Cricetulus griseus: one gene and its partners. The main gene of each other region encodes a partner of the protein of the gene in region 3 in a complex. Links are inferred from orthologs where the notes say so. Each region holds a gene or a part of one and is shown on either strand. Other genes may lie near its edges.

Region 1 (6,233 bases), on a different chromosome or scaffold from region 3:
TAAATGTGGCATAAAAGCAATTAAAATTGGAGGATGTGTATGTCTATAAACTGACTTCCCACTGTGTAAATAAGCAGAAGGTGAAATTTGCCACAGAAGCTAGCCATAAGCTCTTCCCATATCTGGAGCAGCCAGCTGAAGTGGTTTTTACATCATTTTTCTTTTCTTTCTTTTTTTTTTTTTTTTTTTTGAGACAGGGTTTCTCTGTAGCCTTGGCTGTCCTGGACTTGCTCTGTAGACCAGGTCTGGATTAAAGGTGTACACCACCACCCAGCTGTTTATGTCTTTCTTGAAGATTATTACTAGTAGCATATAAGAAGTTGCATCTGGTGGCCATAATTGTTTAATATGTCAGTAAAACTTTATAACTTTTTCAAAGTATATTATGTGTGTGAGTGTTTTGCCTGTGTGTATGTATGTGTACCACATGCAGGTCCTATGCCTGCCGTGTGGGTTCTTGCTTTCTGGACCTTTGAGATAGCCTTCCAGTGGGTGTTTGTGTCTTTAATCTTATGCTGTCTCAGTCTGGGCTTCAGATGCACATGCAAGGTGTTTTGGGGAGCCTCAGGGCGCACTGGCCACTGTTTGTTTACCTTAGCCAGGTCCTTTTGTCCATCCTCCCTAAATGCAGGATATAGTATAATTGGGCTCTCATACAAGACTGAGTTCCTTGGCTGCCAGATGGGGCTTTACCAAGTTTCATGCATATGAACATGAAGACATGACTGACTAGCAGCCCATCCCCAGTGGCCATGGGTCATATAGTCATGAGTTATGCACTATGAGTGCTTCCATTGTGCTGTTTTCCCACCACTGTGTCTTGCTTGCTAGTAAGTCCTACATCAAAAAAGAAAGGGGAAGAGAAGGAAATGAAAATACAGGTGCGCCGGGCATTGGTGGCGCACACCTTTAATCCCAGCACTCAGGAAGCATGGATCTCTGTGAGATTGAGACCAGCCTGGTCTACAAGAGCTAGTTCCAGGACAGCCTCCAAAGCCATAGAGAAACCCTGTCTTGAAAAACCAAAAAAAAAAAAAAAAAAAAAAAAGAAAGAAAGAAAAGAAAATACAGGTGCTTAGGGGTCACCTCTAGGATCCTTACAAAATTAAGAGTTGGGATGTTTGCCTGGCAGTGGTGGCACAGGTCTTTAACCAGCACTCTGGAGGCAGAGGCAGGCCTGGTCTACAGGACAAGTTCCAGGACAGTCAGGGCTACACAGAGAAACCCTGTATTGTATAGGCTAAGACTTGGACTCTGTGTCTGTGTGTGTGTGTGTGTAAATCTCTGCAGTGATTGTGCAAAACATCCCAGTTTGAGATCTGGTGGGATAGGATGAAAGCCAGTTGTAGGCATGAGATATGGAACCATGAGTATGAGTGTGACCGCCGAGTCAGCGATCCCAGAAGACTTGCCAGACACGGAAAAGGGTGTACACAGGCCTTCAAGCTGCAGCTATTGAAGATGTGTTGGGGGAGATGGCAAGGGACACAGGTGGAGGCTTCCATACTAGGAAGAATGGCAGACTGACTTGCAGGTTGGAGTTTCTGAAGGCCAGGTCCCAGCTACCTTCCTGAGAGCATGTGTGGGAAGCTATTGATAACACAGCTGCACGGGTCAAGCATTGTGGTGGTGCTGGTGCCCGTGGGGCATGTGTTCTGTAGTTGGATTCCTTTGTGCTGCACAATCAGAACTTTGTGGGAGGAGTGTGACCAGAGTTTCCTCTAAGTTGGACTTACTGTGTGTTACACTAGTATTTCCTGCTTGGTAGTACAGCTTGCTGTCTTTGAAAAGCCATGCTGAGCTTTCCACTTGGGAATGCTACAGTTTTAGGATTTCCATGGGAACCAGTTTGTGGATACATTACAAAAACAGGACACTTTGTGTTTCCCAGACATAACCATCTTGTGGGACTTTGGGGACCTCCTTTGTCTTTGTTGGAGAAGCAGGTGCAGTGGGATCTGGGGAAGATGGTAGGCTTTCGCAGTTTCCTGATGTTTTTTGTTTGTTTGTTTGTTTGTTTTTTCAGGAGCAGCAGCCAAGCTGGACAGATGACCTTCCACTCTGTCATCTCTCTGGAGTTGGTTCAGCTTCTAACCGTAGCTATTCTGCTGATGGTAAGGGCACCGAGAGCCACCCTCCTGAGGACAACTGGCTCAAGTTCAGGTATGTGTGGCATGGCTGTACTGGACAGAGAAAGTCAGTTTATGAGCAAGGAAAGATGCTGTCTTGCCACTACTGTGTATGAGGCTTGCCTGTGAAGTGGGGCCTGTGGGAAATGACCACTGCTGTGGTCCTTTCTGTGTCTAATTCAGCCAACGGCCTGCTGTGGGATAGGGATGGAGTAGGCTAAGAGGGAGGATTCAACAAGCAGGTCATTTTCATAGTGAATTGATGGCCGCCATGAGGGGACCCAGATGAGTACCTGAAGCCTTTTCTGCCTTTAGCCCCTCCCCAGTTCCTTTCTTTCTTCCCCATCACCTGTATGCCCCTGGCCTCAGCCCTCTTCCTGCCCTCCCTCTGCTAGAAGTGAAAACAACTGCTTCCTGTATGGGGTCTTCAATGGCTATGATGGCAACCGGGTGACCAACTTTGTGGCCCAGAGACTCTCTGCAGAGCTCCTGCTGGGCCAGCTCAACACTGAACACACTGAGGCTGATGTGCGGCGGGTCCTGCTGCAGGTGAGGTTGGGCTGGCTGCCAGTGGCCTGTCTGACTGTGTGTCCTCTCCTCCCTGGAACTTCAGCCCTGCAGCTCTAAGTGTGGACAAGGTGATCTGAAGATTGCCTGCTTCTTCATCTCCCACCAAGGATCAGTTCTGGGTACAGCTCGTGGTAGCAGGGGTTCCTTTTCCCAAGGAGTCCAGGGCAGATGGGAGCAGCAGTTCTTTGATTGGAAGAAGGGCTGACCTGGGAGAAGGCATCCCAGGAATGGAAAATGGAGGCCTGTGGGGACACGGTCCTTAACAGTGACCCCTTTGCTTGGGATGTAGTTAGGTGCTCATCTCCAGTCCTGCATGATCTGCAACTTTGCCTACTCCTATTCTGGCCTGCACCTCACTGACCAGGCCTGTGTTTCTTCTGTTGCTGTGCTGGGGTTTCCATCTACCCAGAAAGGCTTCTTGGTCTTTGAGAAATTGCCCCAGCCTTTTCCTGTTCTCTGTGGCCTCAGGGCTCCTAGACTGGAGCATTGCAAAGGCTATACCAGGGAAAGCTTTCTGCTTCACCTGTGTCCAGCAGGTCCTGACCAAGGCCTCTTCAGAAGAGGTCATCATGCTACTGCAGACTCCCATTGACCAAGCACTCCTCTGAGCCCAGTGCTGTGGGTAGATTCTCTCACTTGACATGAACCCAAATGTGCAGCACTGGAGTTTACACCTCACCAGTCTTAAGCACAGGGCCTGGCTCTTGCTTCTGCCTCTCTGATTCCTTTGTAGGCTACCTAAGTAGCACCCTTCTCCCATCCCACAGCTACAGGTCCTTGTCAAACAATGGACAGGAAGACCCACATATGAGGCAAAAATGATGTGTCACTCACCCGTCACATGAGACCTGCCATGAATACCATGGATCTGTTACGCTCCATAGGGACATCTTAGCAGGAGGTGATGGTATTGTTTGAGCCAGCCCTTGCCTTGCCCTGTGTCCCTTCAGGCCTTCGATGTGGTAGAGAGGAGCTTCCTGGAGTCCATTGATGATGCCTTGGCTGAGAAAGCAAGCCTCCAGTCCCAGCTACCAGAGGTAATGGCCTATCTGTACTGCTGGGTGCCAGCATTAATCCTCCATGTCTCTTGCTACCTATGGTCATAGCAAGGCCTGCAGCAGAATCATGAGGCAGCGTCCTGATGGGGAGACTGGGGTGACAGTAGGTGTATCCCTATGGGAATTCTTGGCCAGCAGTGGGCAGCTTTTCTCTGATGTTCATCCTTGGATGGCAGCAGTAGGTGGAAGGAAAGGTTCTGTGATCTGGTTCAGTCCAGAGCCAGGGTCACCTTCAGGCTGCCCTTGGTTAAAGTACCAGTGGCCTTCCTGGGCATCCTATAGGTATCCAGCCTGGCTGTGTCTTTGCTGGCTCATCTGTCTGCTCTATCTCAAGGGAAGGAGAGAATGGGTAAGATGGTCCTCAAGCACCTGCTGACCTCTCTTGATGGTGGCTTGCAGGGTGTGCCCCAACACCAGTTGCCACCTCAGTATCAGAAGATCCTTGAGAGACTCAAGGCACTGGAAAGGGAGATTTCGGGAGGGGCCATGGCCGTTGTGGCAGTCCTTCTCAACAACAAGCTCTACGTCGCCAATGTTGGTGAGCCACCCACCCACCCCACACCAATCTGCTTTCTGTACATACATACCCTGAACTTCTCAGGGCTGCTGGGCCTGTTTCCCCCTCACTCTGTTGTATGTGTCAATCCTGATGGAAGGCGAACAGATGAGACAGGGATAGGTGTCCTGGCTTTTGATGAATTGCATCCATTTTATTTTTGTTTTTAATTTATGTGTATGAGTGTTTTATCTACATGCATGTCTGTGTACCACATGTGTGCCTGGTGCTTGTGGAGGCTAGAAGTGGGCATCTGATTGAACTGGAGTTAAAGATGGTTGTGAGCCACCATATGAGTACCTGGGAATAGATTTTGGAAGAGCATCCAATGCTCTTAACTGCTGAGCCATCTCTGGGTGGGAGGGGGGAGTGGGTGTCTCTGCAAACACCAGGGCTAGCAGAGTAATGATCCAATCCCTGTGAGGCAAGGAGGAAATCCAGTTCAACATGATTCAGTAGCTATTTTTGGTTCAAACTTCTAGAACAGTGTTTCTCAATCTGGGGTCAACCTTTCATAGGGGTTGCCTAAGACCATTGGAAAACATAGATATTTACATTATGTTTTATAACAGTAGCAAAGTCAGTTATGAAGTAGCAAGGAGAATAATTTTGTGTTGGGGGTCACCACAACGTGAGGAAACAGTCGCAGCATGGGAAGGTCGAGAACCACTGCACTAGAGTCTGACCCCAGGCAGTTTAGGTTTTGGTTTTTGGTATTTCGAGACAGAGTTTCTCTGTGTAGCTTTGGAGCCTATCCTGGCACTCGCTCTGGAGACCAGGCTGGCCTCAAACTCACAGAGATCCACCTGCCTCTGCCTCCCGAGTGCTGGGATTAAAGGCGTGTGCCACCAGTGCCTGGCCCCAGGCAGTTTATTTTAGGCATATTTAAGTACAGTACAGTTTGGAAAAAAAGTTTCCAAGTACAACACAATCCTGTGTGCACAGTAAGGCATAATTACATCAAAACTCTTTTCTTTTTTTGAGATAGGATCTATCCTGATTGTCCTGGGATTCACTATATAGACCAGGCTGGTCTTGAACTTACAGAGATCAGCCTGCCTCTGCCTCCCAAGTGCAGGGATTAAAGGTGTGCGCCACCATGCCCAGTGAAACTCTTTCCCAAGTACATGTCAGTTCTTCCATGAAGATGTGTTCTACAGATAGGCTACATGTATTAAGGCCCTAGGGGAGGATCTGGTGGGATCTTGGGCATACAGATAGCACAGAGGTCACCTAGGCTATTAACCATCTCAGATCCTATTTGTGGGAGCCTGGCGGGGGGCACATGTAGCCTACCCCTACACATAGCACAGAGGTCATCGAATGGCTGTGAACTACCTCCATTCCCAGCCTGGGCAGAAAACAGGTTATATATCTCTCCCTTTGAAGAGACAACCCTGCATGTCCAACATTCCTGGTTTCCCTACCACTTATCTGTGAGTGCAAGAACCTCTGTGCTCCCAACATCTCAGCCCCATGGCTTCTTTTGAAAGAAGTTATGTGAAGGCCTGCTTTACACTCAAAAAACAGCAGGAAACTGGGTGATAGGGACATTTAGATTTAAGGAAGGGCCATCAAGGGACCCAAGAACCTGTGCAGGATGCATGTCACTGTAAGGGCTGTCTTTCTATTGCTTATGAAGATATACCATGACTACAGTAACTCTTATAAAGGAAACACTTTTAATTGGGTTGGCAGCTTTCAGTTCAGAGGTTTAGTCCATTATCGTTTTGGCAGGGAGCATGGCAGCATGCAGGGAGACATGGTGCTGGCTACATCTTGATCAGAAGGCAACAGGATGTGAACTGTCTCACTGGGTGGTATCTTGAGCATATTTGAGACCTCAAAGCCCACACCCACAGTGACACACTTCCTCCAACAAGGCCATACCTACTCCAATAAAACTACACCTCCTATTAG
Region 2 (6,233 bases), on a different chromosome or scaffold from region 3:
TGCCCAGCTTCTATGGCTGTGGCTAGTTTTGCATTCTGATCTCCAGGCAAGTCTTATGAGATCATAAATAATAATGTCACCACAAAGAGGCATGGACAGACAGAAAGGGAAGCAGAGGTCAGCTTCTGGTCGAGGATGCTCTTTAAAATGAAATCGTACTGTGGAAGAAACGTGACCTTGTAAAGATGGAGGATGGAGTCATGTTCAGGTACTGGAAAGAGAAAGAATTTGCAGTTGGAGATACTGAGCTCATCTGCAGCTGGACCACAGGAGTAGTGGGGAGGAGAGAGAACACGCCTTTCAGAGATGCCGAGACACCGCCCTGGAGAAGAGTCCAGGGAAACTCCAGACACCAGCCTCAAAGGCACATGAATCAAGTGCCAGCTGGGTTTTCACCGATTCTGTGGCTCTGCTGTCTTTGGGGAGAGCTATATAAGGACTATATACTCAGCACGTTACATGGCAAGTGTCATTATAGGTGTGGGGGCGTTCGGTAATTTTTCAGATCAGATGAAACTCTCGTCTCCCTGAAGCTCACTTTGGAGAGGAGACCAGCAAGACTCCATCTCTTGAGTCCCGTTTGGTCCTCTTCCTCTTCTTAGGTCCCGTTTGGTCCTCTGCCCATTCCATGACGTCCATGCTGCACCACACTGGTTTTGCCCAATAGAACCATAGTTGTTGGGGGAGGGGAACAATTCTTTTAAAAACAATTCTTTAAAAAATTGTTCCCCCCTCCCCATTTGTGTAATCGCTGGTCAAATATTCATCCAGACAGAAAGGTGTCTACATAGGTGAACTTTAGTTAACATATGTGTATAACCGCCACCAGTCCATACAAAAAAGAACATATGGGAATGTAAGAGATGACTCCGTGGGCAAAGAGCTTGCTGTGCAAACCTACAGACCTGAGTTCCCCTGCGTCCATGTAAAAGTTAGACATGGCGGCGAGTGTCTGCAACCCAAGCTGGGGGTTGAGACTGGTGGATCCAGGTGGCTCACTGGCCAGCCAGTCCAGCTGAAACAGCCAGCTCCGTGCTCATGGAGAGACTCCGTTGTAAAACAAAACAAAACAGTGGAAAGCAATAGAGGGAAGACATCTGACATGGGTGGCATCTCCAAGCACACACAGGTGAACACACATGTACATACACATACATGCACACATGTACATACACACATGTGAGCACACATGTACACACATACATGCACACATGTACACACACACATGAACACACATGTACATACACATACATGCACACATGTACACACACACATGAACACACATGTACATACACATACATGCACACATGTACACACACACATGTGAGCACACATGTACATACACATACATGCACACATGTACACACACACATGTGAGCACACATGTACACACACATACATGCACACATGTACATACACATACGTGAACACACATGTACACACACATACATGCACACATGTACATACACATACATGCACACATGTACATACACATACATGCACACAGGCCTGCACCGTGCCACATACCACCTTCTTGATATAAAGACATAGACTTGGGCATCCCTGAAGGCGCCTGAGGTCCTCTGCCTTCGCAATCCCTCCAGACGCCGTATGAGGCGCTTATGCCTGTGCAGCCCTCCTGTGTGCCGCCGGCTCTTTGCTGTGGTCATTTATGGTTTCCACGTGTGTGCTCCCTGCTGTCCTGGTTCATTCAGTCTCTGTTTTACTCTGCTGCACGAGTGTTCCTCACTTCATTCTCTTACTGTAAGCAGGACTGTGGCTTATTCCCTCCCTGGGGCACGTTGCACAGTGTGGCCCTATCTTCTAGTAAACCTTGGCCTGCCCCGGGGCAGTTGTTGTGCTGCAAGGTTTGTGTAACTTTGGGACACTGTGGACACCCTGATAGGTCCCCACCAGCTCCGCAAGTTCATGGCAGATGCTGAGCCGTCTGTTTTCCCACTGTGGCCACTCAGGGAGGCACACTGTGACTGTGATTTGCACTTTCTGACATCTGTTGAAATTTACCCTGGAGCTTTGTCCCATTTAAGCATGGCAGTTAAGCAGAGCTGTCTGCCCACTGTGGGTCTTCTCTTCACAAATACCGTGGCTTCCCTCAGCACACAGCTGCCCAGCGCCTCTAACTGACTTTCTGTAACCCAAGGAAAAAGAAGAAAAATGCCCCTCCGTGCCCCATCAAGACCACCCGGGACCGCGTGCCCACGCACCTGTACAGAATGGATTTTGAGAAGATGGGGAAATGTATCATTATAAACAACAAGAACTTCGACAAAGTGACAGGTGGGTGACCAAGTGACAGGTGGGTGACAAAGTGACAGGTGGGTGACAAAGTGATAGACAGGTGGGTGACAAAGTGATAGGTGGGTGACAAAGTGATAGACAAGTGGGTGACAAAGTGATAGACAGGAGAGTGCTGGGCTGAGCCCACCTCCCCCCCCCCCCCCCCGCCCGCCTCCCACTTTCTCCACATTGCACCAGACACTCATCAGAGAGCAGCTATGCCAAACCCTGCCAGGGGTATCCCATGTCCAGGAGGCAGGGGTGCAGAGAATTTTCCATCTAGGCTCTACCTCGTGCTGTAGCTAAGAGAGTGCTGAGACTCAAGGAGCCTGTCTTAGTTTCTTTCCCTATTGCTGTAATAGAATGGCTTCTTTAATTGAGTGGTTCTAGAGCATGACATTGGCAGCCAACGCTGGCCATCACAAGTCCAGTGTGGTTTCCCGTTACCATAGGGAAGTTCATCTTGTTCGGAGGCCAAGGGCCCCCCACCCCAGTCCTCTTGAGTTTTCCTCTAGTCCCCTCGTGCATTTAAGCTGTAACATCGGAAGGTGCTTTCTGCTCCCGGCACCAATGCTGCAGAGCCACCCAGCACCTGGTCTGATCAGAACCTGCCCTCTCCTTGCTTTTCCCCCACAGGTATGGACGTCCGGAACGGGACAGACAAAGATGCAGAGGCCCTCTTCAAGTGCTTCCGAAGCCTGGGTTTTGATGTGGTTGTCTACAATGACTGCTCTTGTGCGAAGATGCAAGACCTGCTTAGAAAAGGTGAGTGTGGGCTGTCCTTGTCTGTCCTACCCCTTGGGTTGAGAGTGACATGCTCTGGCTCTGTGATGTGGCCACATTGTGATCATGTGGGTAGACTTTGGGAAGGGTGAGAGAGAGGCTGGAGAGCAAATTAGGGACTAGACCAGACTTGAAGAGCTATGCCCTTTTAACATTGTGACAATGACATTGGCATCTGCAAAGTCCATGCTCATGAACCATGCAGAGTTACAAAATCAGTCCTAGAAGAATCATAATGTTTTAGGTAAGTTTCCCACTTTGCATTGAGCTTGAGCTCATAGCTGTCCTATGACACATGCTGTCCTTAAGCCATGGGTTGGATATGCATTAAGGGACGCCATTGGGCACTCCCATGTGGCGCCCGTGCCATGAGCAAGTCCAGGGTATTGGGCAAAAGCCTGGAGATTTAGTTAAAAGCAGAGACATCTGGTCGTTTGTGCTAGGTGAATGTGTGTCTGACCTCTGTTGCAGGGAGGGAGCAGCCTTATATACAGACTTACAGCACAGTGGAAAAACCCCAGGTATAAGAGCTTGTGTTTTTTATACCAGTGGGGTACTGCCAAGGCTGTTATCCAGGACTAGAAAACAGGATGCACCTGTGATTATTGGCTGACAAGCAACTCACAGAGACCCTGTGGGGGCTGGAGCCCAACATCTCTCCCAACACTCCCACACTTGGAACAAGTATCTGAAACTAGAATGCTACCTGCTCATTAGACAGGGACCTACAGACAGCAGAGGGCTCAGCTTTCCTTAACTGCATATCTGAAAAAGAAAGGTTTTGTGTAATCTTATTTTCCTTTTAATTGACTTCTTGGGATCAGAGAGAGAGCTTGGTGATCAAGAGTGTATACTACACACACACACACACACACACACACACACACACACCACACACACTGTTAAATATAAAATAAATCTTCAAAAATATGTATGATTCACCTAAAGTACCTGGATGAGTGCCAACACATAGGCAGTATCCCTGAAACTCTAAATCTCACCCCCCACCCCCCTACCCCCCACCCCCGTGGCTAATTTGGTATTAACCAGTAGGTTGTTAGTGTCATGGCCATGGATAAGTTGAAGCCAAGCCAGTCTGCTGCGTGCCCCGTGATTCCTTTCCTGATTCCTATATTGATGGCTATCTGATTTTTTTTCTATTAACTTTCTAGTTTAGCATGCAAAGTAGTGGGTTTCATATATTTGTGTGTCCTTACGCTCTGTTCTCATTCCCCACCCCCACTCAGCTCCACAGTGCCCCGCCCCTCCCCCTCCTCCTGTCTTCTTAGCCCATGCCTTCCATTGTCCCCTCCCCTTTAACGTCTCTGCTGCCCTCTCATGATCCCTTTTCTAGTTTTATAACCTACCAACACACATATCAAAGTACACACATACGTGTTTGCATACTTTTAAAACTAGGCTCCACACACCAGAGAAAACCCCGGGGTCTTTGTGTTCCAGGCTCGCTAACTTCACTTAACGCAGTGATCTCTGGTTCCATGTGTTTTCCTGTAGATGTCGTGATTTCAGTTTTCTTTACGGATGCTCAAATCCCTGCTGTACTTCTGGGCCACGCTTTCCTTACCTGCTTTCTGTTGATGAGCTAGTTCTGTTCCCCGGCCACTGTGACTGGTGCGGCAGTAGACATGGACATGCCTGTGTCTGTGGCATGCTGACTTAGAGTCCCTCGGGTATACGTTCTGTTTTCTGTTGTGTAATACAAAGTCGTTGTTTTAATCATTTTAAAGAGAGCAGTTGAGCGGAGTTAAGCAGTCACTTCTAGAATTCTTTTCATTTTCCATAACCAAAGCAACCTACATACTAACCACCCACTGTGTCCCCTCCCCTGGCCACTGACACCCTCCTTTCTATTTTGGCTTCTCACCAGAGTGAAGCCCTTTTCATGACTGGCTTATTCTGCTTGGCCTAATGTTTTCTTTAACAAATACTTTGGCTTTAAAAATAGTAACTGTAGCTGGATGTAGTGGAGCAGGCCTTTAATCCCAGAACTCAGGAAGCAGAGGCAGGCTGAGTTCAAGACCAGCCTGGTCTCCGTAGCAAGTTCCAGGCCAGCCAGAGTTACACAGTGAGACACTGTGTCCAATAAATAGGAATTTTTTAAAATTTAATTTCATTTATTTTATTTTATTATTTATTGGGGGGGGATTTCGAGACAGGGTTTCTCTGTATTGCTTTGGAGCCTGTCTTGGAACTGACTCTGTAGACCAGGCTGACTTCAAACTCACAGAGATCCTCCTGCCTCTGCCTCTTGAGTGCTGGGATTAAAGGCGTGCGCCACCAACGCCCGGCCAGTAGGAACTCTTTTATAACTACCATAACCACCTCTTTTTTTATAGACAGATGAGAAAATGGGGGTTAACTAATCTCTTTGGTGTCACAGAATCGGCCCACTGCTCCCCAGTGCCTGGGTTCTCATTGAGAGAAATCCTAGAATTCTCCCCAGCAGTTCAGTCTCTTCAGGGAAGTGGCCCAACCCGGTCCTTTGAAAAGGGGATTCCGTGCTCTTCCCAGGCCCCAAACTGTCATCTGTTTGTGGAGCCCGGTCCCTGGAGCCTTCAGTGCCAACATTGCTAACATTGCTTCCCTGCAGCCTCTGAGGAGGACCACAGCAACTCAGCCTGCTTCGCCTGCGTCCTGCTGAGCCACGGAGAAGAGAATCTGATTTATGGGAAAGATGGCGTGACGCCAATAAAGGATCTGACGGCTCATTTCAGGGGGGATCGGTGCAAAACCCTGTTAGAGAAACCCAAACTCTTCTTCATTCAGGTGCTTTACAGGGGTCAGGGGTGTAGAGCAATGATATGATGCCGGGGTGCAGGGGCAGTGTTTCTGTGGGGTGTGCAGCGTGGGGCTGGGGCTTTCTGCCTGGAAATGGTTGGCACAGGTACTCGCTTCATTTCTGGAAGGCATCGCTATGCTTCGCTTTGTAATTTGACTCCCACCGGGTGCTTATCGCTTAATCAGCTGGCCGCTGAGCTTCTGGGGTAGGGCAGGAACAGCATGATCTGTTCTGGTACCAGCCCATGTGTGACCTCTCCTTCGATACGCTTTAGGCATGCCGAGGGACGGAGCTCGATGACGGGGTCCAGGCCGACTCCGGGCCTATCAGCGAAACTGATGCTAACCCCCGG
Region 3 (6,893 bases):
TACAAATAGTGCTATAATAAGTGGGCAAATACAGGTGTCTCTTCAGCATACTGATTTTACTTCCCTGGATGTATGCCCTAGCTCCTGTGTTAGCTGTCTGTCTGTTTGTTTTTGAGATTGTGTATCACAGGCTGGCCTAAAACTTGTTATGGAGCTGAGAATGAGCTTGAAATTCTAATCCTCTTGCTTCCACCTCCTAAGTTCTGAGATCGTTGGTGTACTGCCACACCCAGTTTATGTAGTGTTAAGGTTAAACCCAGGGCTAGGTGAGTACTCTGCTACATTAGCAACATCTCCATCATTGTCTAATTGGTTTTGAAACTTATTTGTGTGTGTGTGTGTGTGTGTGTGTGTGTGTGTGTGTGTGTGTGTGTGTGTGTGTGTAGACCTATGATTGTGTGCATGTGAGTGTAGGTGCCCAAGGAGACCAGAGGCATTAGATCCCCAGAAGCTGAAGTTACAGGTGATGTAAGCAGTCTGATGTGGATATCGATGCTGGGAACCGAACTCGGGACCTCTGGAAGAGCAGTAAGTGCTCTTAACTGCTGAACCACCTCTCCAAACTCAGCTCTTGTCTAGTTTTTGAAGAGGCTCAATTTAGGGGCTGGAAAGATGGCCCAGTGTATTGTGGAGGCAGAAGCTGGCTGGATCAGCCAGCTCGTAGTTCAGCTGAAAGATTCTGCCACAACAAAGTAGAGAATGATAGAGAAAGATATCCATGCACATGCATGCATACCAAGCACACACATCTACACAAAACCAAGAAGAGCTTCCATTTTGTGTTCCATAATGGCAGTGCTAGTTTACATTCCTGTTTGTAGGTCCTTTTTTCATATCCTCAGCAGCATTTGTTGGTTTTTGTCTTTCAAATAATAGCTATCCTGATAGGTGTGAGGTGATACTTCATTGTGGCTTTTATTTGTATTCTGGTGTTTAATGTGGTAGTTGGCCGATTATACATCCCCCTTTGAGAAATATCTGGATATGTATTCATTGCTACATCAGAATCTTTCATTTTTGCTGTTATTTGAGTTTTAGCCATTTGTTTATTTTGCATTTCACAAACATACTGAGGACAGAATGGCAATGTGGAAGATTCTGGAGAACCAGCTTGTCTTGTAGCTAGGGTGACCACATGTTCTTCTATCTGCTTTGCCTATGGTGACCATGATTCATGCCTGTTATCCTTATGCAATTATTAGTAGCATCATTTAGCACTTTACCATGTTGGAGGACAAACTGTCTTGCCACTCTTCCCATAATGCAGCTGATTCCTCTTGGTATGTTATTTGGCCTAAACATGACATCGTTGTAATTTGGCAACTGTAATGAGTGTTAAATTCTCTTCCATTTAAACAGGCTATTTCTTGACCAACAGAAGTTGATGGCAAAAGTAACTTCAATTAATATCTGTGACTTTTAGAATGTTTAAGTCATTATAATATTTTGTTTAATATTTTTATTAGTTCTTTGAGAATTTTATGCATGGCATTTTGATCACAGTCACCTACCTCCCCAACTCCTCCCAGATCTACCACCTGACTTTGTCCTTTTGTTTAAATGCAGCAAGTTTAATTTGTGCTTCCTATATACCCTTGGGCATGGCCTCCACCAGACCACTTTTTTTTTTTGCTAAGCAAGAAAGTAAAAATATATTTAAAATTAATCCATGAGCATTCTAAACATTCATTTTTAAGTAGTAAAAATTGAACTTTGATGCCTTGAATATGAAATGATTCATTATAACTATTATGCATAGTCTTTAATAATCTGCATGTTTTATGCTGCATTCATGTTTTTCCTAATTAAAGGCTTCATGTGTTTAATATTTATAATTTTTCTGTGTCATACTTTCCATATTTCTATAAAATGAGTACTTAAGATTCGTAATTCTGCTGTTTGTTTACATATTGTTTTCCATCAAAAGAGAAAGTGGGACTGAGATTGAGGCTCATTTTCGGCACTTGCCGAAAATGCCAAAGACCCTGAGGTGGATATCCAGGACTACAATAAATAAGAGAAACAGGCTGGTTTATAGTTCTGTGTTGGAGCATGTGTCTGGCATTGTGTGAAGCCTTAACACTGAAAGAGAAAAAAAACAAAAGCACCAGATTTTAAAACTCAAGTAGTAATGTAAGGCTCTAGTGTTTAGAATTAAATGTGTCTTAGTGATTGTACCACTGTTTTTATGTTATCAGTGGATAATTTGTTAGTGCTTAGTATCAGAAATATGTTACTTTTGTTATGTGTTTTGGATTTCCTAATGCAATGTTCTCTTTTTAGAAAAGGTGGACAAGTCCTATTTTCAAGAGAAGATGACTTTTAACAGTTTTGAAGGATCTAGAACTTGTGTACCTGCAGACACCAATAAGGATGAAGAATTTGTAGAAGAGTTTAATAGATTAAAAACATTTGCTAACTTTCCAAGTAGTAGTCCTGTTTCAGCATCAACCTTGGCACGAGCAGGGTTTCTTTATACTGGTGAAGGAGATACTGTGCAGTGCTTTAGTTGTCACGCGGCAGTGGATAGATGGCAGTACGGAGACTCAGCTGTTGGAAGACACAGGCAAATATCCCCAAATTGCAGATTTATCAATGGTTTTTATTTTGAAAACAGTGCCACACAGGCTACAAATCCTGGTATCCAAAATGGCCAGTACAAAGCTGAAAACTATGTGGGAAACAGAAATCATTTTGCTCTTGACAGGCCATCTGAGACTCATGCAGATTATCTTTTGAGAACTGGACAGGTTGTAGATATTTCAGATACCATATACCCGAGGAACCCTGCCATGTGTAGTGAAGAAGCCAGGCTGAAGTCCTTTCAGAACTGGCCAGACTATGCCCACTTAACCCCCAGAGAGTTGGCCAGTGCTGGACTGTACTACACAGGGATTGATGATCAAGTGCAGTGCTTTTGCTGTGGTGGGAAACTGAAAAATTGGGAACCCTGTGATCGTGCCTGGTCAGAACACAGGAGACACTTTCCCAATTGCTTCTTTGTTTTGGGCCGGAATGTTAATGTTCGGAGTGAATCTGGTGTGAGTTCTGATAGGAATTTCCCCAATTCGGCAAATTCTCCAAGAAATCCAGCCATGGCAGAATATGAAGCACGGATCATTACTTTTGGAACATGGATATACTCAGTTAACAAGGAGCAGCTTGCAAGAGCTGGATTTTATGCTTTAGGTAAACTTAACCAGTAAATTACTTTCCATCTGTCATAGGGCTCCTAAAAAGAAAATCATTGCCTTTAGTCTTCTGAACTAATAAATATTTAGGCATAAGTTTTCAGGATTGCTTATCATTAGTATCATTCTCTGAACTCATATGTTAAATCTTCATTGTCATTACTGAATTTATGCTTAAAAGGCCATGCTATTATGAGTCAGATCTGTATTCATACAGTTGTTTGAGGGTTGAGTTGAGAGAAGAAAAAAGATGGTATTGATTCCTGATAAATAATGGGTCTAATAGTAATAATAGCTGCCATTTAACGAGCATCTACTCTGTATGCTCAGCATACTTATTACATGGATTGTCTGTAAGCTTCACCACAACCCTATAAACAGAGTTAACAGAGAATTTAGGTTGGTTCATGGTAAACTGACATCAAGCTAAGCATGGTGCCACATACCTGTAATTGCAGCAGTCCATAGGCTGAGGTAGGAATGAGTTTGAGGGCAGTTTGGGCTACGTCATGATACCCTCGAAAAGAACCAAAGAAAAAGTAACATCTTTAACATACGCTACATATTTGAAAGCTGCCCTGTATTATGCCTTATTGCATCAGAGTATTTTTGAAACAGTCACAGTATGTGACTTAAAAGCCAGTAATATGGTTGCTTCTAGGAATATTTTATATCTGCATGCCTGGTCCACTTATTTTAAGATTGAATAGTGCTAAATTCAAAATACAAATTATTTCAAATTTTTTTCATTTATATAACATAGTAATCTTGAAGGTCTTTTTCATGTCAGAGAGCTCTATCCTTAAAGACACTTACTTTGTAGTATCTGCTGAATTTTATTATAGTTAACATTTGGAATATAACTTGTACAGATTTCAGTTTGATGAAGTAAGTGTGATAGTAATGACCCAAATGACATGCACTAGAAAGAATGTAACAATTGTAGTTTTTAACATAAAATCTTTGATTTTACTTTTGTTGTCTTCTACAAAGCACCCCATATCGGGATGGTAAATTTAGTGTGTATTTCCTGTCAAATGATAAAGATCGTATCTAGATGGAATATGAATGTTTTCCTTTAAGCCATGAGATTGTATGTAACTTAGACACCTCTTAAATGTTAGAATGGGCATTTTTTGATGCACAGATACACATAGTTTTACGTGCATGTTTCCTTAGGTGAAGGTGATAAGGTGAAGTGCTTTCACTGTGGAGGAGGGCTCACAGATTGGAAGCCAAGTGAAGACCCTTGGGAACAGCATGCGAAGTGGTACCCAGGGTAAGATTCTTAATTGTTCATTCAGGAATAGGCAAGTTGGACATTGTGCAGGAGAAAGATTTGAATTACTTTTCACCTCAACTATTTTTGCCTTCACTATGGCTTGTAATTCACACCAAGTTTATAGAAATGGGGTCACCTACTTCGTAGGCCAAAAAAAAAAAAACCCACCTAAGACTTCTGGTAACCAAAACATTCACTGTTCATATATTATATGAGGGTTCCATTTATAAACACCAAATTACAAAAATGTGTACTTTTTATTTAGTATACTATACAAAAATATATCCTTTTTATTCAGAAGTAGACTCTTTGGCGAGTGACCTGAGCCCATGGTACCATGGGAAGTCCTGAAGAGCTGGCATAATGTATATTATTATTTGTGTTTTGTTTGCTTTTAGTTTGAAACAGTTTCTCACATTAACTCGGTTGGCCTGGAGTTCACAATGTCTTCCAGGCTGGCCTCCATCGTGAAACTCTCTTGTCTCTGTAAAATAAAGTACTCAGCTATATAAGTTGTATGAGTTTCTAATATATAAAATAATACAACTTAAAATTTTAGAAGAACCATTTGAAAAGACTCTTCCTTAAGCAACCCAAGTGTTCCGTATTGGTTTAAAAAAGAACCCATTTCCTATGGAAAGAACCTTTGTCAGCCTAGATACAGAAGGGGAGGGCCTTGGTCCTGCCTCAAGTGAGGCCTCGCCCTCTGGAGGAGTGGATTGGGCGAGGGATGGGGAGATGGTTGGGGCAATGAGAGGGAACTGGGATTGGTATGTAAAATAAGATTGTTTTAAATGGCCGGGCGGTGGTGGCAAATGCCTTTAATCCCAGCACTCAGGAGGCAGAAGAAGGTGGATCTCTGAGTTTGAGGCCAGCCTGGTCTATGGATCGTCAGGGCTACACAGAGAAACCCTATCTCAATTCCCTCCCCCCCCAAAAAAAAGATCAGTGTGAAAATACTAATTTAATAGCTTTTTTTTTTTTTGCCTGTTAGCAGTTTTGGATTTTCTTGTGTTTATTATAGTCTTGTTATATGTAGCCTAAACTGGCCATAACTTCCTATGTAGACCAGGCTGGACCTAAAACTTGTGGCAATATTCCAGCTTCTGCGTCTTGAGTATTATAGAGGTGTGGTATCATGCCTGCCTTTTTGTTTGTTTCTTCTTTGAGACAGGGACTCTTGGAGCTGGCTCTAGCAAGAATTCACTATGTAGCCAATGGTGGTTCTAAACTTCTGATATTCTTGGCTTAACCCCCTAAGTGCATATATTTCAGATATTTACCCCCATACCTGTCTAATGACTTTTTTGGCTAGTTTTCCTTTCTTTTGGGGGACAGGTTCTGTCTATGTAGTCCAGGCTAGCCTGGTTTTCATGTAGCCTTCCTATTCAGCCTCCCAAGTGCTGGGATTACAGGCATATACCACCAAAATTGGCTAATTTAGTAACTCTTGCTTGAAAATTGATATTGATAGGGTGGAAAATAGGAGCATTATTTTAGCCTTGAAATGAAAGCTTTATAAGGAATTTTGTAGCAGTTTGCTTTGTGGCTCCCCAGAAACAGTGACGCTAAGGCCTTTAATCTCAGCTACTTAGGAGTCTGATAAGATAGGAAGTTTCAAGGCCTGTCTAGGTTAGAAAGCTCAATCGACGCCAGCCTGGGCAATTTGTCAAGACCCTATCTCAAAGAAAAGGCTGTATTTTTAACAGACTAGGGTAATTTGTGCCTATTGCTGCCTGTAATCCCAGCAATTGAGATATGGAGGAGGAGGATTAGATGTCTGAGGTCATCCTTGGCTAAATAGCAAGTTTGAGACTAGCTTGAATCACAGGAGGACTGGCTTTACTAATACTTCACTAATTTATCAGCTAATAGAGTTTAATGTCTTTAATCTTTTAGGTGTAAATATCTATTGGATGAGAAGGGGCAAGAATATATAAATAATATTCATTTAACCCATTCACTTGGAGAATCTTTGGTAAGTTGCCTGTTATTTTGTTTTTCTAATGATTTCTTCCAGTGAAATGCATGGTATACTACTATAATTAATGTATAGTAAACTTTAAAGGGGAGAACTTCAAGAAACCTTCTAATTCTTAACCCTGAAGCAAATTTTTGAAAAGATCAAAGCAAAATAATGTATCACTGTGAACAGAATGGGTGTGAAGAACTTAAAATACTGAAATCATTTAGCTCTCAGAAATCAGGCTTTTGTGTAATGTACTTTCCACTCACAAATAGTTTCTACCTTTAAAAAAAGACAGGGCTGGCTTTGTAAACCCACGAGATGTGCCTGCCTTTGCCTCCTGAGTGCTGAGATTAAAGGAGTCTGCCACCATGCCTGGCAGTTTTCACCTTATATAAAAAAACATTGATTGATTGATTTAGTGTGAATGTATGCGTGCCTGTGTGCATGCCTG
Region 4 (5,596 bases), on a different chromosome or scaffold from region 3:
AGTCCCCTCTTATTTTCACTGTTGAAGCTGTTGTGGAGGATGTCCCCGCCACGACAGCTTACAGCAGCTAATACAATGAAGTATCTTGTGTGCTAACAGATTACAGACTCTGTTGCCATAATCAAAATAATTCGAGTTTTCTTAACATGTAGAAGGAAGAGTTCATTGGTTGTGTGAAATGCTGAATAGCTCATTTAATCTCAAAGGAGTTATTCTTTTAAATGACTCCTATTAAGAGTTATTAATTAATTAATTAAGAGAAGTTCTTTCTGTCCCAAGGAATGACACCTCGCTCTGGTACTGATGTTGATGCAGCCAACCTCAGGGAGACATTCATGCGCTTGAAATATGAAGTCCGGAATAAGAATGATCTTACTTGTGGAGAAATTGTGGAATTGATGAAAAATGGTAAATAATTAAAGAAGCATCCCAAAACCGGGCAAAGGACAGAGATGAAGTGTCTGCAGAACTCAGCCAGAATTGGCATATCCATACCCCTACACACATACAAGGCTCAGGGACCATTGCAGAAGGAGGGGCAGAAAGATTTTAAGAGCCAGAGGTGGGGGAGGACCAAATGGAAGGCATGACAAGAATACTACACAGCAGCAGTTGCTGTTGCCTGATCAAGATCAAGCCTGTCAGCATTCTAACATGAAAGGGAGGGGGACTAATGAGGGGGTTCCCACATCTAGGTTGGGGAGCTGTTGATAGTCGATGGCTGCTGGAGGAGGGAGAGTCCCATTTTATTTAATAGTGTAGTCCCTGATAGGTTGACCATGCTTCAGTGGTATATGGCCAGAACAATTTGGACCCTGTGTTATTAAAAAACAAAAAGCTGCGAAGTTGGGAGGAAGGATACAGGCGAAGTTGGGGGTGTATGTGTGGGGATAAATATTATCAGATTGCATAGATGGAATTCTCAAAGAATTAATGAAAATACTATGTTAAAAAAGAATGACCGTCATTGGGTAATTTTACCCAATTTATGATCTAGCTATAATTAGACCTTTATAATTAGAGGTATAAAACTATGCCATTGCCTCCCAAGTTCTGGGATTAAAGGCATGTGCCACCACACCTGGCTGCTTATATATTTTAGTAAAAGTTAAAAAGAAAATCATGTCATCCCCTAAAATGATTCCAAATGTGCTCTGCCTATGTTAGATTTGGGTGATCTTATAGTTCTGGTCTCAGTTTCTTCATCTTGTGGTCATGGTATAAATCAGTAACCCCAGAACTCAAGAAGCTAAGACAGGAAGGAAGACTGTGAATTCAAAGCCATCTTGGTCCAATTAGAAAACTAGATACAAATCAAACAACCACAGATTCTTTGTCATATTCTCATACAGTGTCCTAATGTTTTAAACGAAACTTGCAAAGTCCTTCTGTGTCTTTGTTTTGTTTTCAATTATTTGCAAATGCCTTTCCAGTTTCTAAAGAAGATCACAGCAGAAGAAGCAGTTTCATTTGTGTGATTCTAAGCCATGGTGAAGAAGGAGTAATTTTTGGAACAGATGGGCCTGTTGACCTGAAAAAACTAACTACTTACTTCAGAGGGGACTATTGCCGAAGTCTAACTGGAAAGCCCAAACTCTTCATCATTCAGGTAGTGCTCTGAGCAGCTTGGTGCCCGATTAAAAAGAGATTAACACATTTAACAGTCTTTACTTTTTGTTTTGGGGCAACGGAACTGTTATATTTGTATTTACTTAAACCACCACTTAGAATATGTGGAGTACATTTCAATGTTGCTCTTATATCAGAACAACTTACCAATTTTTACACTACTCTTACAGCTTTTACAAATTATGTGTGTTCATATAATATTATTTTAAAAGAAAAGTTTGTTTTCTAACACACAGGCCTGCCGTGGTACGGAACTGGACTGTGGCATTGAGACAGACAGTGGAACTGATGATGACATGGCATGCCAGAAGATACCAGTGGAAGCTGACTTCCTGTATGCTTATTCCACAGCACCTGGTAAGAATGTGTCAGAGGAATGTTCTATGTGAATTGGAGATAAATTGCATTACTTTAGAGCTGGAGGTAAAGACTAGATTTTAAAGGCTATTGGGATTTTTATAAGCCCTTCACAAACATTTTTATATCCCTACAATAACTAAATGTTGTCTTAATTACTTTTCTATTGCCATGACAGAACAAGAGACTGAGGCAACTCATAAAAGAAAATGTCTAATTTGGTTATAGAAGGTTAGAGTCCATGACTATCATGACAAGAAAGGGGAGGCAGGACATGGCAGTAGATAAACAGGTGTGGTGCTGGAGCAGTAGCTGAGAGCTTACATCTCTATCTATAAACACAGCACAAGGCAGAGAGAACTAGCTAGAATGACATGGATTTCTGAAACCTCAAAAGCCCACCTGATGCCTCCTCCATCAAGACAACACCTCCTAATCCTCCCCAAATAGTTCCATGTCTGGGGACCAAATATTCAAACATATGAGCTTATGGGGGCCATTCTCATTCAAACCAACACACACACACACTCAGTATTAAATTTGTGGGTGTGGACCTATGTGTGCGTGCGTGCGTGCGTGTGATTTTAGAGGAGAAAATTGACTCTCACAAATTATCTTCCGAGTTCCACATGCAATGTGGCACATGTACAAGTATACTCACAAAATAAGTAAGTAAATAAACCTATTAAAACAAATAGATGAAATACACTCAATCTTGTTTCTTTTAGCCACTAGGTATCTCTCTAGGCAGCATACTTCTAAAGTAAACACAATGAGTCCAATAGTTAATCTGAAATTACCAAAAATGCACTATTTCCTTCTTAGGTTTTTTGAATGCTATTTATTACATTCATTCAGATGCGCCCTAGGTGAGCTAATGGCATTCTTTAAAATATAAATATATATGGCTGAGCAGACAGCCTAATAGTTAAGAGACTTGTTCTACTCATGCAGAGGATCTGGGTTTGGGTCCTCATATACGCATGGTGATTGACAGCCATCTGTAACTCAGTGGGCATCAGGCACTTGTGTGCTACACTTTACATACATGCAGGCAAAGAACTCAGACATATAAAGTAAGTCTAAAGAAACATTTAAAGTGTGTATATGTAAGCAGTTTATTTCTTGTCTAAGCCAATATTAAAATCAGATGAGCTGTGACCGAAACAGGAAGTGGTAGAAGAATTCAATGGCAGTCAGTCCATAGCTGCTTTTTTTTTTTTTCCTGCTGACAGTAGTGAGGTATGTATAATATATATTTTCCCCCTCAATATCATTTCTCCAGAGACCAAAGGTGTTATTTCTTTTTCCTTTTTATGGCTTGTTAGACCTTGGAAGTTCATATTTATTTTTATCATGGTTATGTAAAAACACATAAAATCTGCTAAATGATGGTATGAAGTAATGGTGGGCATGGTGCTTTGTATTTTGCCTTGTAGGTTATTACTCCTGGAGAAATTCAAAGGACGGGTCCTGGTTCATCCAGTCACTTTGTGCCATGCTGAAACTGTATGCACACAAGCTTGAGTTTATGCACATTCTTACTCGAGTTAACCGGAAGGTGGCGATAGAATTTGAGTCCTTCTCCCTTGACTCCACTTTTCATGCAAAGAAACAGATTCCGTGTATTGTGTCCATGCTAACAAAAGAACTGTACTTTTATCAGTAAGGAAATGATTGGAGGCTTTGTTTCTATTTGTTCTTTGTTTTGAATGCCAATGAGGAAACAGTGTCAGGGAGACTTTATTTCTCTCTCATTTAAATCAAATCTGATGTTTCAGATGAACCATACCACTGCCCTAGCAATGCAGCCGCAGTACAGCTACCTCAAGTGCAACATCAGGTAGTTGAAACAATTTAATTGGAACAAATGTCAATGATGGTACTATCATTATAGAGGAAATTACAAATTTACTTTTTATAATTAGCAAGATTTGGTGGTACTATAAATTTTTAAGTTAATTCTGAAGAAGTTAAACTTTCAGGTGTAATTTTATACTCCCTACACACATTAAAAATGCCATTCTAGGTTTTGTTAAATTACAGCAATGATGGTGTCAAATGATAATGTCTTAGAACTTGAATCCATGGGCAGAGTCAAAAGCTTGGACCTTTATTTTGGAAGTGATATATGGAAATGAAGCATTGGACCACCAGTAGCATTCATTGTTTTGTGATGTTTGTCCTAAGCATGTATTTGTTATTAAAAAAATCATGTTTCATTATTGAAAAAAAAACTTGAGTATTTATGTAAGAGGAAAACATGAGTGAAATTGGTTGACTTTTTGAAGGCTACCATACATAAGTAGTGGATATGATGGCAAGGTGCTAAATCTACCAGCATTTGTTTCTTACTTGTTCTTATACAAATCAGCTTAGTTTTACAGACCAGCAAAATATCTATAGGACAGTTACGTAACAGCCTCAAATTGTTGATTATTAGAATGAAATAAATTCTGCAGGAACATACTAAAATACCAGCTGTAAAACAGAATGTAAGGACGGGAGAAATGAATCTACTGTAATTGGAGAGGGGTGGTTTGAGCCACAGTAGATACATGGCAGAGCCATGGGCACAGCTTCAGAAAGGACTGTCACCTGGACCCACCTCATGAGTACTCGTTCGTGTGGATGATGTCCCTAAGGTCCAAGTCACCACATGAGAAAGTCAGCCAGATTGGAAACTTCTTAGAAAGGGCGTTCCCAAAGTGGTAAGTCTCTCCAGAAAGATCCCAGAACTCCATGTCCAGAATCTGTAAGCATGCTGACTTTTCTGTTGAAGTTTACAATAAAAGGAAGCCAATGGTGATATTTGTATTGTCACCAGAGATTAAAGGACCATGGCACACAGGACTTGGGGAACATCCAGTCACAGGCCCTGCAGCCCGCATGGGAAGCTGCAGGATGGAGTCCAGCCCCATTAGAGAGGTGGTGCTCCAGGCTTCCTCACTGGTGGAGGTGCTGAGCCAACGCTGGCCATCCTGATGTGTCTAGCATTTCATGGAAGCTTCCTTTTTGCTCAAAGAAAGGAAGGAACTCACATGTATAACTGGTAGATTCTTGTTTTAGACTGGATCTATTAACTCTAAGTAAATGTAGCATGTGATGGTATTTTAAAGTGTGTTCCCATGTGTCAATTTTATAAGAGTTTGTTGCATTTTTATTTCAAAACATAAATTCAGATTTAAAATTATCAGCGTATTTGAGTTTTGTGTTTTGTGGTTTTTTTTTTTTTTTTTCTTTTTGTCATTGATACTTTTGGTGTTGTGATAGCTAAGTGACAGTTAAAATAGTTTTAGCCCAGAGCTTAATTTAGGAGAGCCAAAGAGGATGCAGCAGGGCTCTCACCTAATATTTTGAGGCATTGGCAAGTGACAAGACCTCTGGGGGAATGGATATGATTTAAACCCTGAAAAGAATGTAGGAAGGGGGCGAGGGGGGGGGTCATCTCTTCCGATGTTTACATAATCATAGCTGCTATACAATCAAGAACAAAACCGGATCAAGGAATTCCTATTACCAAGGAGTAGAGTGGCATGAATGTTTTTATTCAGCCTCTTTTAACCTGTGGCAGGGGGCTGGAGAGATGGCTCAGTGGTTAAGAGCACTG
Region 5 (6,233 bases), on a different chromosome or scaffold from region 3:
CTCTTGTCTTCAGCCCAGCTAGAATATTGGACTTTCATCTGCCTGTAGTAGCTTTTATCCCCCCACCATGGGCTAGATCACATTGAAGTTTGGAACACTAAAACTTTCTGTGTACCATGATCCAGATTCAGATACTGGGCCTTATAGTCGGTGGAGCTAGTGCTGGGTAAAGTGTGTTTGTCTGGGATCGACTTTAAAGGGAGGCTGGCTAGAAGCCAATTAAACAAATATTCTGTGGATATGTAGCACTAGTAGACCATTGAGTATACCAAAGTGATTTCTCACTTTGGATTCTGCTTTCCAAGGTTTTTATTTACAAAAGTGTTATGCTTTTTGTGGGCCAAGCGACAAAGATGGTGATGCTTTCCCATTTTCACCAACCACATCATCGTATAATTTCATTGAATTGGATAAAAAATTATCTTTCTAAGACCAACAAAATCCTGTGACCTTACTGCATTTCATTCTTTTCTCTTGTTGCCTAAGATCTTAACAAGTGCATAAGCGTAGGCTTATGCAATTGACTTGGGTGTCTTATTTCCTCACTTATAAAATATGAATTATAAACACGTACGTACGTATATTTGTTGTGCTCTATCTAGTATAGATAAAGTGCCCATTGTTCTTTAAGATGACCTGAGAGGAAAATAAATTTTTGTGACGTGGCATATTATTTTAATGATTAATGAGTCATTCTCTGTAGCCAATGAGTGGGCCTAACATAGCAGACTTCCTACCTTAATGGATAGATGACTCCACTTGGTACCTTAGAGATGGGGTAACTGTTTCCTATTGAAATTTTGAGTTGGGTAATTTTGGTGATATAATCATTGAAACTGTCTTTTACATTTTTAGCTTTTTTTAATCTTTTAGTTTTATTTCCCCCCTTAGTCTTGTTGAAATCTAACCTTATAAACTGTCCAACTTGCTTTCCTGGTCAAACAACAGACTAGGAAAAACACAGACCTTAGAGTACCAGGACTACAATTTGAATCTGACTTTAATCCTGTTGCTTTGTTTGGTTGTGGTCACCAGAGGATCATTTATTTCTCCGACTCTGGGTGTCCCTGTATGTAAAGTGGAGGTAATGGAGCCAGCTTTAGAGAGGCAATTGAACAGTTAGTGTTTATAAAGTGGCTGACAGGAAGGAAGAATACATCAGACTTTTTCATGTGTGTGCGCATGTGTGTTTGTGTTCGTGTATACACACATGTTGTACGTACTGGTCCATGTGCATGATAAGGAAGCCAGGGGTCAACTTCAGGTATTGTTCCTCAGGACCACCATTTATCTCAGGGGCAGGTTAGTGTTTCAGAGTGTTTTATTGTTGTCGACTTTTTTATGTGGATTCTGAGGAATCAAACTCAGATCCTCCTGTTTGTGTAACAACCACTTCACCAGCTGTACTGTCTTCCAACCCCTTGTTTCATACTGTGGACAGGAGGAGGAAAGGGGATCTTATATATGCATGTGGCTGGAACTTCCACAGTGCACTCTCTCTGTGGATGTTTCTCAGTGTCCAGGAATCTTCGGGTTCATCCCATAAGGAAAACACAGCAACTGTCTTGTTGACCCGTATCTCTTGGGCAAATACAGAACTTGAGAAATTGAAGTTTAATTAAATGGGCCTCACAGATTGATATAACTGGTTTCCTTACTGTCAAGGTCATGGACAGAGAAGAGAGAAACTTTTCACTTTGTTTTCTTACAACTCTTTAATTTAAAACATAAAATGTATTACCTACTAAAAGAATAAATAACTTCTAACCATGATTGGGTGTGTCTCTCTGTCTCTCTGTCTCTCTCTGTCCCTCTCTGTCTCTCTGTCTCTCTGTCTCTCTCTCTCTCTCTCTCTGTCTCTCTCTCTCTCTCTTTCTCGTGTGTGTGTGTGTGTGTGTGTGTGTGTGTGTGTGTGTGTGTGTGTGTGTGTGTGTTTTAAGCAGTCTGGTCAGGAATGTCTATTGCTATTCTCATTTCAACAGACATCCAGCGCTTGGGTTTCTTAAGAGCCAACTAATCATCAGCACTTACCCAATAGGCTTCTCCTGGAAGCATTTCTATTTATGTCATTGCTACCAACACCCATGCATCTAGTGTGCTAAAAAATGATGATGGCATCACTATAATTTCTCTTCCTTTGTGTACTTTTTAAAGTTCTTCACCGCCAGTCAGTCCAAACATCTACCATTCTTTTCAGCCAGTGTTTTCTTTTTTCTTTTACTATTTTATACTTTATAGTTTCAGGCTCCCCCTGCTTTGTATCTAAATTATTACAATCTTCAAAACTGTTCCTCTTTCTATTAATTCCATGTACTATGCCAAGTTAATTATCTTCAAACTTAATTGTACTCCTTTCCCTTGCTCAGAACTTTCAGTCACAGCTGATTATCAGACTCCTTAGGAGTCTTAGGATTCTGGCATGTTTGATTTGCCATCGTTTCTTTTACATATGAAATATCCTAATTCATATTAAGCAGTCAGTTTTACTTTCACTTCTGTAATTCATTTGACCATGGATGTTGAACATCTACTGTGTTACTGGATAGGAGGCACTGTTTTAAGTCCTGGGAATGGGTATACATGTGCAAAAGAGAAGCAAGGTCTTACCTTTCACGGAGGCCTCATTCACTTTATATGGCTTCTCTGTGGTGCTGAATTCTAGTCATACTTCAGGTTGCACTGAAAGCCTGTCTTTGAAGACTGTGGTGACTTTACCTTGCTCAAAATTCTCTCTCCTCTGAATGCCCCATAGTTTACTTTTCTTTTTTCTTTATATGTGTATGTGCATATGTGTGTATGTATGCATATATATATAAAATATATGGCAATCATCACATTCTTCCTTGTATTATTTTTTTTCTGATGTGAATTATGGGCCTTTAAAGACAAGGATGCCTTTTTGTCTTTGTATGCTCTGAAATACAAAGCATATTGTATTTCATGACGGTAAGTCTGACTGTACTAAAAGTTAACCATTTATCTCTTTTACTCATGCCCAAGGCATGTGGTATACCAGGGATCAGCTGGAAATGCTTCCTTGTTCTCTGCTTTTTTCCTGAGTTTGATGTGTAACTTCTAAGCCTTATTGACTTTGATGTAGCCATCATCATCTAAGTCAGCAGTTACCAACCTTTGGGTTACAGCCCCTATAGGGGTCAAACAACCCTTTCACAGGGGTCACCTAAGAACATTGGAAAACACAGATATTTACACAGTAGCCAAAATTACAGTTATGAAGTAGTACTGAAAATTATTTTATGGTTGGGGGTCACCACCATATGAGGAACCCTGTAAAGGGTTGCAGCATTAGGAAGCTGGAGAACCATTGATCTAAGTAAATACGTCTGCAATATTTAAACGCTTTAGAATTCATGTTTGGAAAACTTTTACATGTCTATAACCGTAAAACATGTGGTTATAAAATATATTTGGTTACTCCATTTAATCTTAATGATTACTTCAAGCATCAATCATTCTAACATAGGCTAAGTTTTGGAGCTTCGTCTCACACTGTTCCTTCTCTTTCCTAGGAAAGGTATGGTAATAACCATGTGGAGCACTTCTGCCATCAGTGGAAAGTACAGTAATAACCATGTACAGAGCTTTGACCACCAGTGGTTTATAGACGTTATTTTGGCTGTTCTCTAAATAGACCAGTAGAATACATAAAGTGGGTATTATCTCTATTTTAAATATGATAAAACTAAGGGACACAGAAGATAAACTCACATGAGGCTACATAGCTAATTAATGAGAAAAAAAATTCCAAGCTTATTTAATCTGTGGGTATGGCCATTATTGTATGTTTTTCGTTATCTGAAATAATTATCCTTTTTTTTCCTTAGTGAAAGAAATGATATCTTACGAGAAGCTGAAATACTACATAAAGCTAGATTTAGTTACATTCTTCCAATTTTGGGAATTTGCAATGAGCCTGAATTTTTGGGCATAGTTACTGAATACATGCCAAATGGATCATTAAATGAACTTCTACATAGAGTAAGTACTGTTTGTTTCCAATAACTACAATTACTATTTAGTCTGCTCAACTATATATAGTATTTTGTTCTTCATTCAGTCACATTACTCTGTAGTATATAAATGAATCAAGTAAGAATATGAAGCACCATGAACTGATGAACTTTACCTTTTGTGTCTTTGTTTGTGTTGGTACAAAGTACTGTGGAGTTGGGCTTGAATTCAAAGGTCCTAGAATATTTCGCATAGGTAACTCTGACATTCATACTAAATCCCAGTATCCAATATAATATATATATAATATATATATATATATATATATATATATTATTTGTACACAGATAGGCGTGGGAAATAGATGAGTTCAATACAGTATATAATCCATGGTTAATCGATATTTAGTGACTATTTAGGATCCAAATTAACTATTATTAGTTAATGGACCAAGTAAATTATCTTCAATGACAAGAAACATGACATTTTTCTGTCTATAGAAGTTTGAACCATTACTAATTTTTTCAAGGTATAAGTTACTCTGGCTTTGTATTTGTGAATCCTATCAACAAACTTGGGATCCTCATTCTCAAAATACATGTATTCTATTTTTATTTTGGCTTGATCTTACACCCTGATTCTTTCCAGTCTGCATTTGCTTTCAGATCTTTTTAGGTCAGATGCTCCAATTTATGAAGATTTGAGCTAATTAGAACTGCATAATACCTATGAATACTTATGCCATTCCCACATTATAGTATATCACATTGCCTTTTACACAAGCAAGGGAAAGTGGGCACCACTATCAGCCACTCATGGAGTGACTTCCTCTTTGTTTCAGAATACATCGCATTCTATTCATGACTTGTGACCATCTGAAACAAAGATGGACTGAAGTAACTGGTATCAGTCTGTAAGGTTTGTGTACCTGCTCCAGCAATCAAGTTAAAAAGATTCCATAAAGCACAGTTTCTTTTTTGTTGTCTGAGAAATGAAATTGAAGCAGAAATTCTAATGTTTTATTTCCACATCGTTATAGATACTCTGGCACCCAGATTTGGAGCCCCCTGGAAATTCTGTAGCCTTCTCTAGGATTCTTCCTAACTCTTAGATGTGACCATAAAATATAGAGTGTCACTCTACCCTTGACTCCATGAGGAAAAGCCTCCATATGACACTGCCATTCAGAGGCCTCATAGTCACTTTAAATTTCATAATACTTTGAAAAATTGCCTCTTTACAGACCAACAAAAGATGCACTTGCTCCAAGGTATTGAGCTGTATGTGTTTCCCAGGAGGTAATGCTCCATGTTAGTGTCTCCTTGGTATGTTATCCTAAATAATATACCAGTTACTCACAGTGTGATTTATCTTGAAGCACTCACCACCCACATCATAAAAGATCACTGAATAAAATGAAAATGTGGTATAAACAGCCTAAAGTATTTTGAACAACCTCCTACTAATTGGTCACTGAAATTTAAGCAGACTTGATTTCAAAAAGAATCCCAAGGCAATTTTGGCGCTTCAAAAAAGGTGACTTTTATATAGTATTTTAGAAAATGAACCCATGAGTTTGAGCCATTTCAAAAGTGTCTGATTTTTCTGAGTGTATATATCCTCCTTGGAAACTGCATTAACTTTTATATTCAGAAAACATTTAAAGAAACTCAGGTGGATATGTGTTTAAGAACAAAACAATGATCTTTATTCCACAAGAAGAAATTCTCAAAGGTTAACGTTTCAAGAGGTAACGTAGAACATAATTTGTAATTAAAGTATGAGATATAGATCAGTGAGATGGGTCAGAAGTTGCAGGCACTTGCCCCCCAAGAAGACAGGCCTGATGACCTGAGTTTGACCCAAAAGCCACATAAAGGTGGAAGGAAAGAACTGGCTTCACAAAGTTGTCCTCAGATTTCCACACTCCCAACCTGCCACATGTACCCCCAACACATCTTGTATACACGCACACACACATACAGACAATAGTAACAAACGTTTTCAGGTATGAGACACTTCAAATGATATACTCTCAATTTTAATTGACTTAGAGACTACAGTGATAATTATAGTTTTAAATTAATATAAAAAGTTAAAATTTTGAATGAATGGTTTGGTTTGTCAGAAACACATTATATTTTTTTTCTGTATGTATGTGTGCTTGTGTGTATAAGTTATTTGATGAGACCATAGAAGTGATCTGTGGATTAGGGTGTAAATTAAATACATGTATCTGACTTTATGTGCATACAAGTAAC

What was found.
Region 1: the proteins of Xiap (region 3) and Tab1 are in contact, whole or in part, in a crystal structure (PDB 2POP), measured with the Homo sapiens proteins. The link is inferred for Cricetulus griseus from reciprocal best matches to the Homo sapiens genes XIAP and TAB1. Residues at the interface, in NP_001158.2 of Homo sapiens: Phe33, Ala34, Ser38, Gly39, Pro41, Ser43, Ala44, Ser45, Thr46, Arg49, Tyr75, Ser78, Ala79, Val80, Gly81, Arg84, Phe92, Ile93, Gly95, Tyr97, Leu98; in NP_006107.1 of Homo sapiens: Glu99, Ala100, Arg103, Thr201, Gln202, Leu203, Glu212, Asp213, Phe216, Arg217, Gln220, Arg241, Glu269, Glu271, Ile272, His273, Ala275, Gln276, Pro277.
Region 2: the proteins of Xiap (region 3) and Casp7 are in contact, whole or in part, in a crystal structure (PDB 1I51), measured with the Homo sapiens proteins. The link is inferred for Cricetulus griseus from reciprocal best matches to the Homo sapiens genes XIAP and CASP7. Residues at the interface, in NP_001158.2 of Homo sapiens: His136, Ala137, Leu140, Leu141, Gly144, Gln145, Val146, Val147, Asp148, Ile149, Ser150, Asp151; in NP_001218.1 of Homo sapiens: Tyr230, Trp232, Arg233, Ser234, Pro235, Gly236, Arg237, Trp240, Glu274, Ser275, Gln276, Asp279, His281, Phe282.
Region 4: the proteins of Xiap (region 3) and Casp3 are in contact, whole or in part, in a crystal structure (PDB 1I3O), measured with the Homo sapiens proteins. The link is inferred for Cricetulus griseus from reciprocal best matches to the Homo sapiens genes XIAP and CASP3. Residues at the interface, in NP_001158.2 of Homo sapiens: Ala137, Leu140, Leu141, Gly144, Gln145, Val146, Val147, Asp148, Ile149, Ser150, Asp151, Thr152, Ile153, Tyr154, Asn226, Leu231, Gly232, Arg233, Asn234; in NP_001341706.1 of Homo sapiens: Tyr204, Trp206, Arg207, Asn208, Ser209, Lys210, Asp211, Trp214, Gln217, Lys242, Thr245, Glu246, Phe247, Glu248, Ser249, Phe250, Phe252, Thr255, Phe256.
Region 5: the proteins of Xiap (region 3) and Ripk2 are in contact, whole or in part, in a cryo-EM structure (PDB 8AZA), measured with the Homo sapiens proteins. The link is inferred for Cricetulus griseus from reciprocal best matches to the Homo sapiens genes XIAP and RIPK2. Residues at the interface, in NP_001158.2 of Homo sapiens: Lys208, Asn209, Trp210, Glu211, Pro212, Cys213; in NP_003812.1 of Homo sapiens: His136, Asn137, Met138, Thr139, Pro141, Ile208, Asp278, Glu279, Arg280, Ser282, Lys285.

What each region holds. Positions count from the first base shown.
Region 1 is NC_048595.1:377,304,209-377,310,441, forward strand, and holds part of Tab1 (TGF-beta-activated kinase 1 and MAP3K7-binding protein 1), read left to right. Parts: intron 1-2,026; coding exon 2,027-2,163; intron 2,164-2,524; coding exon 2,525-2,678; intron 2,679-3,649; coding exon 3,650-3,736; intron 3,737-4,156; coding exon 4,157-4,295; intron 4,296-6,233. UniProt on the Homo sapiens protein: Key adapter protein that plays an essential role in JNK and NF-kappa-B activation and proinflammatory cytokines production in response to stimulation with TLRs and cytokines.
Region 2 is NC_048596.1:5,008,834-5,015,066, reverse strand, and holds part of Casp7 (caspase-7), read left to right. Parts: intron 1-2,161; coding exon 2,162-2,298; intron 2,299-2,934; coding exon 2,935-3,063; intron 3,064-5,692; coding exon 5,693-5,868; intron 5,869-6,155; coding exon 6,156-6,233. UniProt on the Homo sapiens protein: Thiol protease involved in different programmed cell death processes, such as apoptosis, pyroptosis or granzyme-mediated programmed cell death, by proteolytically cleaving target proteins.
Region 3 is NC_048604.1:25,908,832-25,915,724, reverse strand, and holds the start of Xiap (baculoviral IAP repeat-containing protein 4), read left to right. Parts: upstream 1-2,287; 5' UTR 2,288-2,315; coding exon 2,316-3,189; intron 3,190-4,370; coding exon 4,371-4,470; intron 4,471-6,372; coding exon 6,373-6,451; intron 6,452-6,893.
Region 4 is NW_023276807.1:40,009,158-40,014,753, reverse strand, and holds the end of Casp3 (caspase-3), read left to right. Parts: intron 1-279; coding exon 280-408; intron 409-1,433; coding exon 1,434-1,609; intron 1,610-1,865; coding exon 1,866-1,986; intron 1,987-3,425; coding exon 3,426-3,655; downstream 3,656-5,596. UniProt on the Homo sapiens protein: Thiol protease that acts as a major effector caspase involved in the execution phase of apoptosis. Following cleavage and activation by initiator caspases (CASP8, CASP9 and/or CASP10), mediates execution of apoptosis by catalyzing cleavage of many proteins.
Region 5 is NC_048595.1:130,013,037-130,019,269, reverse strand, and holds part of Ripk2 (receptor-interacting serine/threonine-protein kinase 2), read left to right. Parts: intron 1-3,845; coding exon 3,846-3,999; intron 4,000-4,813; exon of another isoform or gene 4,814-4,890; intron 4,891-6,233.